Linked DNA regions of Cricetulus griseus. The protein of the gene in region 1 purifies or fractionates together with the protein of each later gene. This does not show direct contact. Links are inferred from orthologs where the notes say so. Each region holds a gene or a part of one and is shown in the gene's direction. Other genes may lie near its edges.

What was found. The genes of interacting proteins can lie anywhere in the genome.
Region 2: the proteins of Tada2b (region 1) and Taf6l purify together in Homo sapiens (affinity purification with mass spectrometry; 3 studies listed by BioGRID and IntAct, counting the BioPlex papers as one, with this or other methods). This does not show direct contact. The link is inferred for Cricetulus griseus from reciprocal best matches to the Homo sapiens genes TADA2B and TAF6L.

Annotation. Positions count from the first base shown.
Region 1 is NW_023276807.1:105,485,858-105,493,596, reverse strand, and holds the start of Tada2b (transcriptional adapter 2-beta), read left to right. Parts: upstream 1-3,602; 5' UTR 3,603-3,686; coding exon 3,687-3,956; intron 3,957-7,739. Other genes in the region: Ccdc96 (coiled-coil domain-containing protein 96), read right to left, coding at 1,342-3,090. UniProt on the Homo sapiens protein: Coactivates PAX5-dependent transcription together with either SMARCA4 or GCN5L2.
Region 2 is NC_048596.1:51,317,932-51,323,693, forward strand, and holds the end of Taf6l (TAF6-like RNA polymerase II p300/CBP-associated factor-associated factor 65 kDa subunit 6L), read left to right. Parts: intron 1-2,257; coding exon 2,258-2,386; intron 2,387-2,484; coding exon 2,485-3,246; 3' UTR 3,247-3,287; downstream 3,288-5,762. Other genes in the region: Tmem179b (transmembrane protein 179B), read left to right, coding at 3,345-3,440, 4,444-4,631, 4,711-4,845, 4,999-5,077, 5,266-5,358; Tmem223 (transmembrane protein 223), read right to left, coding at 5,755-5,762. UniProt on the Homo sapiens protein: Functions as a component of the PCAF complex. The PCAF complex is capable of efficiently acetylating histones in a nucleosomal context. The PCAF complex could be considered as the human version of the yeast SAGA complex.

The DNA of each region.
Region 1 (7,739 bases):
ACACATTTGCAACTTAGGGCATGCTAACTTTAGTGCCCTGCATGACCCACTGCTCACTTTGTTCAAGGTTCACGAGGGAGCATTCAGTAGCTGATGGGGAGAAATCAGCTGAATGAATCAAAACACTGAAGGACACCATTACAATGAAAAACATTCTTGTCACTTCTAGTACTAATGCCAGTTTCACTTGGGAGCATCCCCAACTACAGAATCCTGCCTGGGGCCCTCTGCTGTTGGAGTCACTAAGACGACATTTCCAGTTGCAGCAATTTACTGCTTTGCTACAGTCTTGATGGACAGGGTAGAGGGAAAATCAAAATTGCAGCAACTAAGGGGAGGAAGTAGATGGGAGAAATCAATTTTTGAGCTATTCTCAGTTATGCATTTGAATGGTCTTATGTAAAGTGTGTTCTAGCCATGGAAGTCAGAAAAGGGATTTTAACTTTCATTGACTTCAAAGCCAATATACTTTAGCAAACAAAATTGTGTCATCTAAAGGAAGTAGGGTTATGTAGTGCCAACAGCCAGATTGCTGATGCAGGTTATGGCTCAGAAGGTAAGAAAGAGTGTTTGTTTGAAAGCATGAGAATCTGAATTCAAATCCCCAGCACCCATATAAAAAGCCAGACTTGGCCTTGCATTTCAATAACCCCTGTGTTGGGCAACAGAGACAGGCAGATCCTAAGATTGTCATGCCAGCTGGGCAGTCTAAACCAAACTGCAAGATCCTGGTTGAGTAAGAGACCCTGTCTCAAAAAATCAAGGTGAAGAGCAAGAAATACTGGTATGTTCTGGCCTCCACATGCCCACAAACACCCACAGATGAGATGAAGAGAGATGAAGAGAATTTGGGAGCTAATTGAGACAGTGATTCAAGATTATACAATTTAATTAGTACAAAGATGACTGAGTGATCAGACCAATGCACAGGGATTTTCTGTACTTTGGCTACTGGTTAAACAAGGAACAGTTCTAACACTCTTCTAGACTATGGGACTGCTTGGCTAGGAAGGCTTTTCATCATTAGTCGGTTTAACCACCTCTCCTCTCCTCTCCTCTCCTCTCCTCGCCTCTCTCTCTCTCTTCTCTCTCTTCTCTCTCTCTCTCTCTCTCTCTCTCTCTCTCTCTCTCTCTCTCTCTCTCTCTCTCTCTCCATATATTTTACTTAACCTCATGTAGAACTACTACTAACTGATGTGTTCAGGAGGAATTTGGAAGCTGGAAATGACAAAAAAAAGTTGCATCCCAAGTCATATAGAATGAAAATGGGAGGGCAGAAGAGAGTGGGGGACAAAGTTTCTAGAGTTTTGGAGGTTTTGCCAGCTGTCCTGTCAACGACTGTCAAGAGGGGAGGAACATTTTGGCCTCCCTGATCTTTTGCTTCACCCCTTTGCAGGACAAGGTGAGCCCTGCATGATGGCGCTTCAGGGATTCCAGGCGCTTGTTGAGAAATTCTGTCTTATCCACCTTTTCTTCTAAGTCTCGGAGGAGTGATTCCTTACCCAGAAGCCCACTTTTCTGATTCAGTTTGATGTTGTCAATTCGCAAGCTGTCTCGGGTTTGCTTCGTCTTTGTCAATAGATCTCTTCCCAGAGCCACCTGGGCTTCAATTTCCAAAAGTTGTGCCTTTTTGCATGAGTTCTCCATGTCTATGAAAGACAGCTTTTCCTTCACGTGGGTTATAATCTGCACGTTGCTGGTCACCTTATTGCGCAGTTTTAGAAGTTCCTCATTTCGTTCCTCGACTTTCTCGTTGAAGGTCTGGTTCTCAATTTTGAGCTGTTCAAAGTCGATGAGGAGCAGCCCCTCAGCCAAATCTTCCTGGGCCTTCATCCTAGTTTCAAAGTGTACCAGGCTCTGCTTCAGCTGCACGTTCTCGAGACGCAATGCGCTCATCTCCTTCTCTTTTTTATCCTCCAGCGCCTGGATCTGTTCCACCTCTCTCAGAGCCGCTTGGCGTCCACCGCGCATGCGGCAGCTGCCCATTACCTGCATCACCACCTGCTTCTTGAGGGCCTGGAAGCGCCGCCACTCTTTCTCCACCCTGGCCTGCTTCTCCTGGCACTGATGCTTCATCTCACGCACCTCCTGACGGTACCACTGTAGGTCGTCCGCCTCTTGTTTTTTCAGTTCCTCCAGCATGGCCAGATAACGCAAGTATGCTTGCTCTTTCTCGGGAGAATCTGGTTCCGCACTCTTGTCCACAGGTTCAGCTGCTTCCAGGCCCTTCTTTCGTAGCGTCTCGGAGATCTTCTGCTGTAGGTACATATTGTAGCGCTGGTACCGGTTCCGCTCCAACAGCAGGGTGTGGTACTGGTTCACTAGCTCACCGCGCAGCTGCTCCTCTTGCAGCTTCCGAACATCTGCAGACCACTCAAAGTCTTCGAAGTCCTCATTGTCTTCCTCTTCCATGTCCTCATCCTCTTTGCTTTTCTTGTGTTGTTCTCGACCTGTCGCCCGGATCTCCTCGCTACCTCGCTTCTGCTCTGACTCCTTTGCTTTCTCTTTCTCAGCCTGTGGGGCTGGAGCAGCCGCCTCCTCGACGATCGTGGTCAGTGGCAGGGAGGGCCGGAACCGTGACTCCTTGCTCTTCACCTTCTTCACCTTGTCCTGCTTCTCCCGCCCGGCGGGTTCCTCATCCTCGTCCTCGTCCTCGTCTTCATCCTCGTCTTCGTCTTCGTCCCCCTCCTGGAACTCCCGCTCGGTCTCGGGATGCGGCTCTGACAGACTTTCTGGCTCTCGGGACACGGCCTCGCTCGCAGCCTCTGCTGTCTCGCTCGCAGCCGTAGCGGCCTCCAGACTTTCCTCGACATGAGCGTCATCACTCCCCTCCAAAACCTCTGCTTCAGTGTCGTCCGCAACAGGTTGGGTCTCCGCCTCAGACTCTGGCTCTGGCTCCGGCTCCGGCTCCGGCTCCGGCTCCGGCTCCGGCTCCGGCTCCGGCTCCGGCCCGGGCTCTGGCTCCGGCTCCGCAGGGTCGGCCGGGGTCTGAGGTTCAGGTTCGGAGCTGACCTTGGTCTCGGACGACTGCCTGGTCGGGGCTTCCTCAGTTCCTCCTTCGCCCTCGGTATCCCCGTCGTGGCTGTCCATGCTCGACCCGCAGTCTCAGGTCTGAGGACCGCGGCCGCCTGCTGTTAGGTTTCCCGGGGCAACCAGGGCGCGCGCGGTGGGCCCCGCGATTGGTCGTCCGCCTTCCTTTTCTCTCCGCCTCCCAGCAATATTAAGCCAATGAAGGACAACGAACAGGTGAATGTAAGCGCTGATTGGACACTGTCTCTTGAGAGGTGTGGCGCAGCAGACCGGCTTCCGGTCTGCGCCTTGCCGGCTGTCAGGTTTGGGGCGGGGCCTTACGGCTTCGTGAGTCCATGAGGCGGAGGGAGGCAGCGGCGCGCAGGCGCAGATCGGAGGCTCGGCTGCCCGCAAGAGGGCGCGCGCGGGGCGCCTGCGCGATGCGGCGGGGAGACGGCGGCGACGGCGGCGGCTGCCGGGCCGGGCCGGAGGGCGCCTGCGTGCTGAGGCGGGACGCGGCCCGCCTGGCGGGCTCCGGCGGCGCCTGGGCGGGGACGGCCGTGGCAGCGGCCGGCAGCAGCGCGGGCGCGGTGGGCGCAGTGGGCTCGACAGGCGGCGGGGCGCTGACGGCCGGAGGCGCGGCGACTGCGGGCCGGGCGGCGGGCGAGCGGGGGAAGATGGCGGAGCTGGGTAAGAAGTACTGCGTGTACTGCCTGGCCGAGGTGAGCCCGCTGCGCTTCCGCTGCACCGAGTGCCAGGACATCGAGCTGTGCCCCGAGTGCTTCTCGGCTGGCGCGGAGATCGGCCACCACCGCCGCTACCACGGTTACCAGCTGGTGGACGGTGGACGATTCACTCTCTGGGGGCCTGAGGCGGAGGGCGGCTGGACCAGCCGCGAGGAGCAGCTGCTGTTGGACGCCATCGAGCAGTTCGGCTTCGGCAACTGGGTGAGCGGCGGGCCCTGACTAGAAGGAAGGCATGGCTGGCTGGTTTGGTGCACGCTGCGGCGGGCCGCAGGTGGCCGGACGGGATCGCCCAGAGAATGCTGGGCGCCCATGGCTACACAGCTGGTAGAGCAGAGCCTTGACCCGTGGCCCCTACACCGAGCTGTCTGCCCTTCACACTCGTCCTCAGAATGTGTGCATTGAACGCAGGCGGAGGGCAGGCCCTGTACCTTGCCAAGCTTCTACTCGAGCCAGATGGCAGCAATCGAGACCCTGCTGTCCCTTCTGAGTTCCCTGGTAGGGTTGGGTTCTCCTGGGCACAGTGATGAGGAAGGCTAGAAGCCTGGGCTGCCCATCCCGCATGCACTTAGTCTGCATTCAGGGCTTCGAGTGCTTTCTGTGGGTGTCAGCATGTGACCTGAGCTAGGGTTCTCCGTGGGTAGCAGTGCCTTGTTTAATTCTTGCTCTCTACAGCACCCAGGACATAGTGTGAGAGGTGGCCAGTAAAGAATGAACAAAGGCCTCTCAGTGAGGAGGCATGTAACCAGGAGTCTGCTTTCTAGCTGTCAGGTTTCAGTAGATGTGTCTTGCTGGTGGCAGGAGCTTTGGTGTGCCAGCCAGATAGTGTGCTGGTCTCCTGGTTGTTCTCTAGGGATCTCTAAGGAGCTTTCCTTCTATTCCTCACCTTTATTAGGGAAGAACTCTGTCTTTGTCACCATTACCGCCAGGCACATATAGTATCTTCAGGCTTTCAAAGAAAAGGGAGCTAAGTATGACCCTGTTCTGTCCAGACTCTTTCCCGGTATGGTTGGGTACTGCTTCTCTAAGCTTCCCTACTCCAGCCATACTGCCTTACTATTCCAGGTCATCATATGCAGTGAGTGACCTTTTGGACCCACCTCCCCCACCTAGGAAAGATTCTACTTTACAGATACTTTCCTGATGGCCAACACCTTGACTCCTGCTCTCCAAAAACATCTGGTTGCTTTGCCTATAAGTGGTGTTGTTGGTGTATATTGAGCATTTGATTTGTATAGATCAGGCAGCATGAAACACCCTGAAGAAGAGCCTCAGAACTGAAAATGTTGCATTCGTTTGTTCTGTTCCTCTAGCTTGTCTCTACCTGATGACATCCATTCCTCTCTATATCATTGCCCATGGTGACCCAGCCTCACTTTGTGCTCAGCTACAGAGTCAACTTAAAACCTTCATCTACATCTAGTTGTTTAGCTGTCATCTATTTTTAAAAATGTGCCGAATGTAGCTGCTAATTCTGGTCTGAACCACGCTGACATTTACCTCTTACTGTTTTAACATCTCATGGTTTACCTGCTTTCTCCTTGTGTTCTATAGCTCTTCTCACACACCAACACAGGTCTTTTGAAACATAAGCTGTATCTCTTTGGCTCTCAGCAACTTCCAGTTCTACTTAGATTACATTACAATGCCTGCAAGGCCTGACAACATCTATGGTTCCCTGTGATCTCATGCTTACTCTCTTGATGAGTTTTCCTTTCTTCTGCCTACAGTGCTTTCACCCTAGTCAAGACTACTGACTGATCTTTGTCCTTATGTGTCATTGCTTCAGAGAGACGTTTCTTCCTCACATCATTCCTCCAGCACTATCTCTAGAGTAGCCACTGAAAAGAGTGAGAGTGTTAGTTTTGGGGAGCCCACTGCTGACCTTGTTTTATCTCCTGAAACTGGGCTGGCTATACCAAGTGGAAGAAGAGGCAGAAAGAGTGTAAGAGCCAGAGGGGGGAAGAGGACACAAAGAGACAAGGCCCTTGTAATCAAGTGAGCACAGCTCATGTGAACTCACAGACTGAAGCAGCAAGCACAGGGCCAACATGGGTCTGTACCACATCTCTGCATTTATATTATAGCTTTCAGTTTAGTATTTTTATGGGTCTCCTGAGTATGTGAACGAGTGGGTCGCTGATTCTTGTCACTTCTCTTGGGGCTCTTTTTCTTCATTGGTTTGACTTGTCCAACTTCGATGTGATGGTTTTTATTCTATCTTATTATATTTTATTTTGCTAAAGAAAAGAAAGGAAATCTTGGGCTGTAGAGTCCGCACCTCAACTAGTGTTTGTGCTGCATTGGTGTAGCACAGTCAGAAGCACATAGCACCCAGGCATGGAAGCATGTAAAATGTGGATGAATAAACAGGCTGGATGGGAAGGCCTCTTCTGAAGCAGCACTTTCAGGCTTTAAGGCCAGAGGAACTTGAGTCAAGATGCAGGTTCTCATGAGGTCCAGGCTCAGCTTTGGAAGAAGTAAAGCTCAAGAGGAAGAGTCTTGGGACTTGGCTGCCTGTGTGTAGTTCATGGACTGCTACCTGCTGAAGCAGCAAGAGTCTCAGGGCCGGTCTGAGAGATGCAACCACTGATCCTCACACAGAAAGAGGAGGCTCTGTGACTCTGCTATCTGTGCTCTCCTAGACCGGTTGCTTTATTCCTTCAGAGGCACCACAGCTTAGATATGTGGTTCTGTTCTGAGCTTGCATGCTATTACACAGAGTATGTCCCAGTTTGGACCTGTGTAGAGCCTGTACTAGCTCTATACTGTATCCTTTATGTATGCAAGTCATCTGACTTGCACAAGCATCACTGTGGGGGTGAATTTAATGTTCTTAGTTTGCAGCTGAAAGACAGCAACTGTGAGAATCTAAGCTGCTTGCCAAGAATTCTATAGCTTTGGCCATGATGGCTAGGTGTGATTATATTCTGGGGCCTCCACTACAGCACTAAAAGCCTTAAGTAATGTAGGTAGAGACCAGGCTTACTGGTACAGTTGGTGGTGTGGTACTACCAGAAAGCTTTACACAGGATCTAGTTGGGATCTGTACCACAGAGAAGTCCCAGAAAGGATGATACCATAGTAGGGAGGTTGATTAAGGAAAGAGGTGAACCTCAGCAACACACACAGATCAGGCCTGCCAGGGTGCTCAGAGCCTCCAGACAGCTGCTGCACTGTGGTGGGCTCTGCTGGTTGAATGATGCAGGGCCTCTGGAATATGTGAATATAAACATGTAGACATACAGAGGTTCAGAATGACTAGAGCCTTTGGTAGATGAGGCATCAATTTTGTCACCCAGCTCTAAAGACATTAAACTGCCACAGAGGAGGCAGTTTGAGATGACCAGCTCCTCCACAGGGGAAGTAGGGCTCATGCCAGCTTACATGGTTTTGAATGTAGTAAGAGGAACCAGTGGAGAAGGTTCTTGTGCCTAGGGGATGACAATTGACATCCACAGGCGAACCATGCCCTGTGTGCAGATTGCTGTATCTTGCATTCATTCCTTTATCCACTGGCATGTGTTCAACAATCTGCTGTGTGCTAGCCCCTGTGGAGACATTGCTGGGACAGCTGGGACCTTGCAGTGTGGGTGAGTAGAACTCCATGTCCAGTGGTAAGAAGGACACGAGAAGTCTGTGTGGGTGGGAAGGTAGCATGGAGGAAGGAAGTATTTTGTGTTCTGGGAGTTGGTTGTATTTGTGAGCTAGGCAGAAGCTGGCTTGTCCCAGGTGAAAGGCAGAAAAGGAGGATTCTTCCTGTGGGGTGGTCAATGAATGCACATGAACTTGCCTATAGCCATGATTGGGAAAAAACCTTAAGCCCCAGTCAGTGTGTGATTGGGGTGTTAAAAGCTGAGTCCCACTCCTTTGTGCCAGGTGACAGAACGGCTGTGATGGGAGTGTTAAGGCTGATGCCCATTCCCTGGTTGAAGGCATCAAGGCAGGCATGTTGTATTGTTCCCTCACTCTTATGATTGTCTCAAA
Region 2 (5,762 bases), on another chromosome or scaffold:
TAGGGCAGGCAAGCTGTAAATCACAGACACTGCCCAGATGTGGAGGATGAAAGAAAGGAGGGAAAAGTGCCTGGCATGGTGGTACATGCCTTTATTCTCAGCACTCTGTGTGAGTTCAAGGCCAACCTAATGTACATATTGAGTTCAGGATAGCTGAGGCTTTTAACACAGAGAAACCCCTGTCTGGAAAAGCCAAAAAAAAGCCATGTTATTTGATCTCATCTGGCAGAGTAGTAGGCAGCCACATGGTATGGGAGGGGTATTAAAAAAATAAGGAAGTCCAAATGATTAGAAAAAGCATACTTAGTTTCTAGCCAGCATTTAAAAATAATAGTGCTAAAAACAAAACAAATAAAAAGGTGTTTTTGGCACACATACCTTTAATACCAGCAGAGGCAGGCAGATCTCTGATCTCTGATCTCCAGGCCAGCCTGGTCTACAGAGCAAGTTCCAGAACAGCCAAGGCTACACAGAGAAACCCTGTCTTGAAATACCAAAGAAACAAAAAATTCTGTTGGATTAAACTGAACTTTTATGTGCTGATTTACCTCAATCTGGCCTTGACTTGCTTTGTAGCTGAAGGTAATCTTGAATCTCCTACCTCCTGAGTGCTGGCATGCTAGGTCTATAGGCATCCACCATCACACCTAGTTTATGCGGTGCTGGGATCAAACCTAGGGCTTACAGCATGTTAGTCAACCACTCAACCAACTCAGCTACATCTTTGCTCCTTTTGAAAAAAATCCTTATTTTTGTGATTGTATAAGTGCATGATGTGTGTGTTTGGGTGTTTGCTATAGCAGGTGTGTGGAGGTCAGAGGAGATAGCAACTTTGTAGTTAGTTCTGTGTTTTAACTTTACCTGGGTTCAGGGGATTGAACTCAGGTCACCAGGCTTGTATAGCAAGTGCCTTTACATATGGGCCCTCGATGCTTTTTTGTTATTGTTTATTGTTATTAAAAATAATTTATTTTTTATTTTTATGTGTATTGGTGTTTTGCTTTCGTGTCTGTGTGAAGGCATTGTCCCTTGGAACTGGAGTTACAGACAGCTGTGAGCTGCTATGTGGGTGCTGTAAAGTGAACCCTGGTCTTCTGAAAGAGAATTATCACATATACAGTGGTCTGCCTATAGGCCAGAAGAAGGCACCAGATTGAATTGTAGATGGCTGTGAGCCACCATGTGGTTGCTGGGAACTGAACTCAGGACCCCTGAAGAGCAGTCAGAGCTCTTAACCTCTGAGCCATCTCTCCAGCCCCTTATTCTAACAGGGTGTCCTAGAACTTGCTCTGTGGACCAGACTTAAAGTGAAGACCAGGCTGGTCTCAAACTTGGAATTAGACTTATGAATGCTCTTAAACCTCAAAATTTTGCTAATTATTTTTTTATGATTGAGGTCACTTTTCTGAGTGTATATTGATGCCTGTAAATTTTAGCAAGATGTTTCAGTGTCTTTCATAGTTATTTAAAATGTAATCCCCGTTTCTTTTTTGTCAGTAACATTTTTCCTAGGAATTTGACAGGTGGTTAGCATTTTCAAAAGTTCATGCTCCGTGGGTGAGTGATCCAAGTCTACCTTACATGTCAAAGACCATCTCAAATATAATAGCTTTGGCAGGGTTTTGTTTAGTCCACCTGATAACTACTCAATTTAAAACTGTACAGTCAAAGCCATGTGTGGTAGTACACTGCCTATAATCCCAGAGTCTGGGCTCCCAGCAAGCTCATTTCAATAAGGTGTCTTGATTGTTTTTGTGCAGCTCCTGTTTCTCTAGTAAGAACAGCACTTTCCCGCCAATTGTGTTCACTAGCAGTCTACAAACAATTTCTGTCATAATGATTTAATTATGTCATATTAGCCCACTGTAAAAGGCTAATATAATTTTTTTTTCGAGACAGGGTTTCTCAGTGTAGCTTTGGAGCCTATCCTGGCACTTGCTTTTTAGACCAGGCTGGCCTCGAACTCATAGAGATCCGCCTGCCTCTGCCTCCCGAGTGCTGGGATTAAAGGCGTGCTCCACCAACGCCCGGCCAGTAATGGATTTTTTTATATTGCCTGTATTTGTATGTCTTTATCCTTCATGCCTACCAAAAGATTGTACATATAGTAGATCCCAGAGAATCGATGGATATCTATCTCAATGAGAGAACTGAGGACTGAGCCCGACAACATTCCAAGTGGGTCTTTTGTGGGAAAGGTTACTCAAGAGGGCATATAGAACGAGGTTGCTTACTGTATTCCTTTTTTCCCTTGTAGGCAGTAGAACGAGTCCTGTACCCACATCTGCCCACATACTGGACAAACCTGCAGGCGGTGCTGGATGACTATTCCGTATCTAATGCCCAAGTCAAAGCAGATGGGCACAAAGTCTATGGAGCGATTCTGGTGAGTAGCGAGGCCCAGCTTCCCTTTCTTACAGTAGCTCAGCAGGTTTACTTTGAGATGCCTGCTGGTCCAGGTTTCTTCTAGCTCTTTGTTTACAGGTGGCCGTAGAGCGACTACTGAAGATGAAAGCCCAGGCAGCAGAGCCCAGCCGCGGTGGCTCTGGCGGGAGACTGTGCCATCGTGCGGAGGACTTGCCTTGGGACAGCCTTCTCCTCCAAGAGTCTCCTCCGGGGGGCGGCGCCGAACCAGGCTTTGGGTCTGGTCTCCCGCTGCCGCCAGGAGGCGCGGGGCCAGAGGACCCTTCTTCCTTGACCCTGGCAGACATCTACCGTGAGTTGTACGCCTTCTTCGGTGACAGCTTGGCCACTCGCTTCGGCACTGGCCAGCCCACGCCCACGGCCCCGCGACCACCCGGAGACAAGAAGGAGCCAGTGGCCGCCCCGGACTCGGTGCGGAAAATGCCGCAGCTGACCGCTAGCGCCGTGGTCAGCCCGCAGGGGGACGAGAGCCCGCTCGGCGGAGGCCCGGCGGCCGCCTCCACCGCTTCGGAGAGCAGGCCGCTGCCGCGCGTGCACCGGGCGCGGGGCGCTCCCCGTCAGCAGGGGCCCGGCGCGGGCACGCGAGACGTCTTCCAGAAGAGCCGCTTTGCGCCCCGCGGCGCCCCGCACTTCCGATTTATCATCGCTGGGCGTCAGGCCGGGCGGCGCTGTCGCGGGCGCCTCTTCCAGACTGCTTTCCCCGCGCCCTACGGGCCCAGCCCGGCCTCCCGCTACGTGCAGAAATTGCCCATGATCGGCCGCACCGGCCGCCCGGCCCGACGCTGGCCGCTCTCGGACTACTCGCTGTACCTGCCGCTGTGAGGCTGCCGCCCCTCCAAGAATAAATCCGCACCAGGAAGTGACGTGTCTGTGCTCGTGGGCGGGGCTTGGGCGGTTGGCTTCCTGGTGTCCTGTGCGCCATGGCGCTCACCTGGTTGCAGCGAGTTGAGCTCGCGCTCTTCGCTGCCGCCTTCCTGTGCGGTGCTGTGGCGGCCGCGGCAGTGACCAGGACCCAGGTGCGGCTGCGGGGCGGGCCAGCCTTGGGGCCGAGCAGGCTGGCTCTGGGGACTGGCCGCGGTAGCTTCACCGAGCTAGGGACTGAGAAGTCCCAAACTTGTTTGCTTGCCAGAGGAGCTGGACACGCAGAGCCTATTCGAGTCCAAGATAAACCGGTTAATAAGTTTACTTGGGTGCTGGGACACACAGGCCCAGTCTTTGCATTCACCCAATGCACAAATAGAAACATTTGTGCAAAAAAAAGTAGTATAGTGGAGTGATCAAGGTACCGCAAGATTGTAGTCCGGTGTGTGAAGTGAGGGAACGTATACACTTAGGTACACCAGGTTTATTATTGTTGGACAGTCTTGGTCAAAGAATACTTTGAGTCACTATAAGAGTCTAGGACGCCTTCTTTTACAGGCTAGGGAAGCTGTTAAAGGGCACACAAGGTCAGGACTTTCTCTAGAATCTCTGTTCACGGGGACAGATCAAACTTGCGATTTCTCTTGGGTTTATGTTTTGTATTTCGAGACAGGTTTCTCTGTGTAGCCCTGGCAGTCCCCTGTAGATCAGGCTGGCCTCAAAATAACGAGATCCACTTGTCTCTGCCTCCCAGTGCTGGTATTAAAAGGTGCACCACCACCCCACCACTACTGCTCGGCTCTTGAGGGTTTTTTTTTTTTTTGCGGGGGGGGGGGGAGGAAGATAGAGACAGGGTTTCTCTGTAGCTTTGGAGCCTGTCCTGGAAACCAGCTTAGCTTTGTAGACCAGGCTGGCCTCGAGGTCCGCCTGAGTGCTGAGAAAAATGTGCCCCCACCACCACCCTGCTTCTCTTGCCTTTATATTGTAACCCACTGAATTCTGACCCCCCCTCTGGGCCCTGCAGACTTGGTTCCCAGCAGATCCACATCAGTCTATCCCTCCATTTCACCTATTTGTGAACTCACCCTCACATCTGGCAGTAACCTGCAAATGGGGGCATTGAAGTGGAACCAAGGACTCAACAGCTTCTCTCCACAGGGCTCCTTCGGTGGTAGCTGCCCCTTGTATGGTGTGGCTGCCCTCAATGGCTCCTCTCTGGCCTTGTCACATCCCTCAGCCCCCTCTCTCTGCCACTTTGTATCCCGGGCTTCAGGCCTCTTGGCCCTCTACTGCCTTCTGCTTCTCCTCTTCTGGGTCTACAGCAGCTGCATCGAGGATTCCCACAGGTAATGACCCTACTGAGGACAAGGGGCTCAGGTGAGATGAGTCCCATCTAAGCTACAAAGCTTGTTTTCTATCCCTCAGAGGTTCCATAGGGCTCCGAATTGCTTTGGCCATCTCAGCTATTGCCATCTTCCTGATATTAGTGTCTGCCTGTATACTTCGATTTGGCACCAGTTCTCTCTGCAATTCCATCATCTCCTTGAACCATACAATTAGGTAATGGGAGAGGGAGGGGATTCCGGCAGGGACTATTTCCCTCTATAAGGTACAAGTTTCCATGTTTCTCCTCATCCTTTGGCCCTTATCTCTAAGAACACAAATGTGCTTAGAGTATGTTTCCTTTCTCAGAACTCTCTCTCTACCCCACAGTTGCTCTGAAGCCCAGAAATCCTCATGGACACCCCCTGGAACTGCTGTGCAGTTTTACTCCAACCTACAAAACGCTGAAGTGAGACAAAGGGATATACTAAGATTAAATATCTGTAGCTTAAGAGTGTTCACCATGTAATATATGCTTGCTTGTAAAGCTCAAAGAAGCATGGGCTTGTCTCTTGAGTCTGGACAGAGCACATTGTGTGGGTAGGACTGAATTGGAAATAGCTTCCTTCCTCACACTCCTGTTCTCTTCTCTCACAGACCTCTTCTTGGGTGAATCTGGTACTGTGGTGTCTGGCCTTGATGCTCCAGGTCGTGCAGTGCAAGTCAAGTCACCCCAGAGCACAGCTCTGAGACCAGTGCTCTTATTGGGTAATGCCTGTCTTACTCCTGAAAAATACTCAGTACTTTCTGCCGCCAGAATCTCCGTGCTCAAGAGCTTTTAATCTTCTTGTCTCAATACAGCCCTATTTGTACTGAGAACCACATTTTTCCCTCCAGGAGGGAAACTAGAATAAGTCCCCTCTGCTTTTTCACCTTAACATTTTTTTTGTACCAAAATAATATATTACTTTTCTTCATCATTGTATAGAGTTCTTGGTGTTAAAGCAAATAGATGGGAGAGAAGACAGAATGATGGCTTTAAGTGCATCAGGCCCTTTAGAAGACAAATTTATTGGCTATTAGTGAATCCGGGGTACCTTTTCTTGCCCTGGGTTGTCTCCTCATCTGAGATGGGCAAACCACTTTTCATAGGC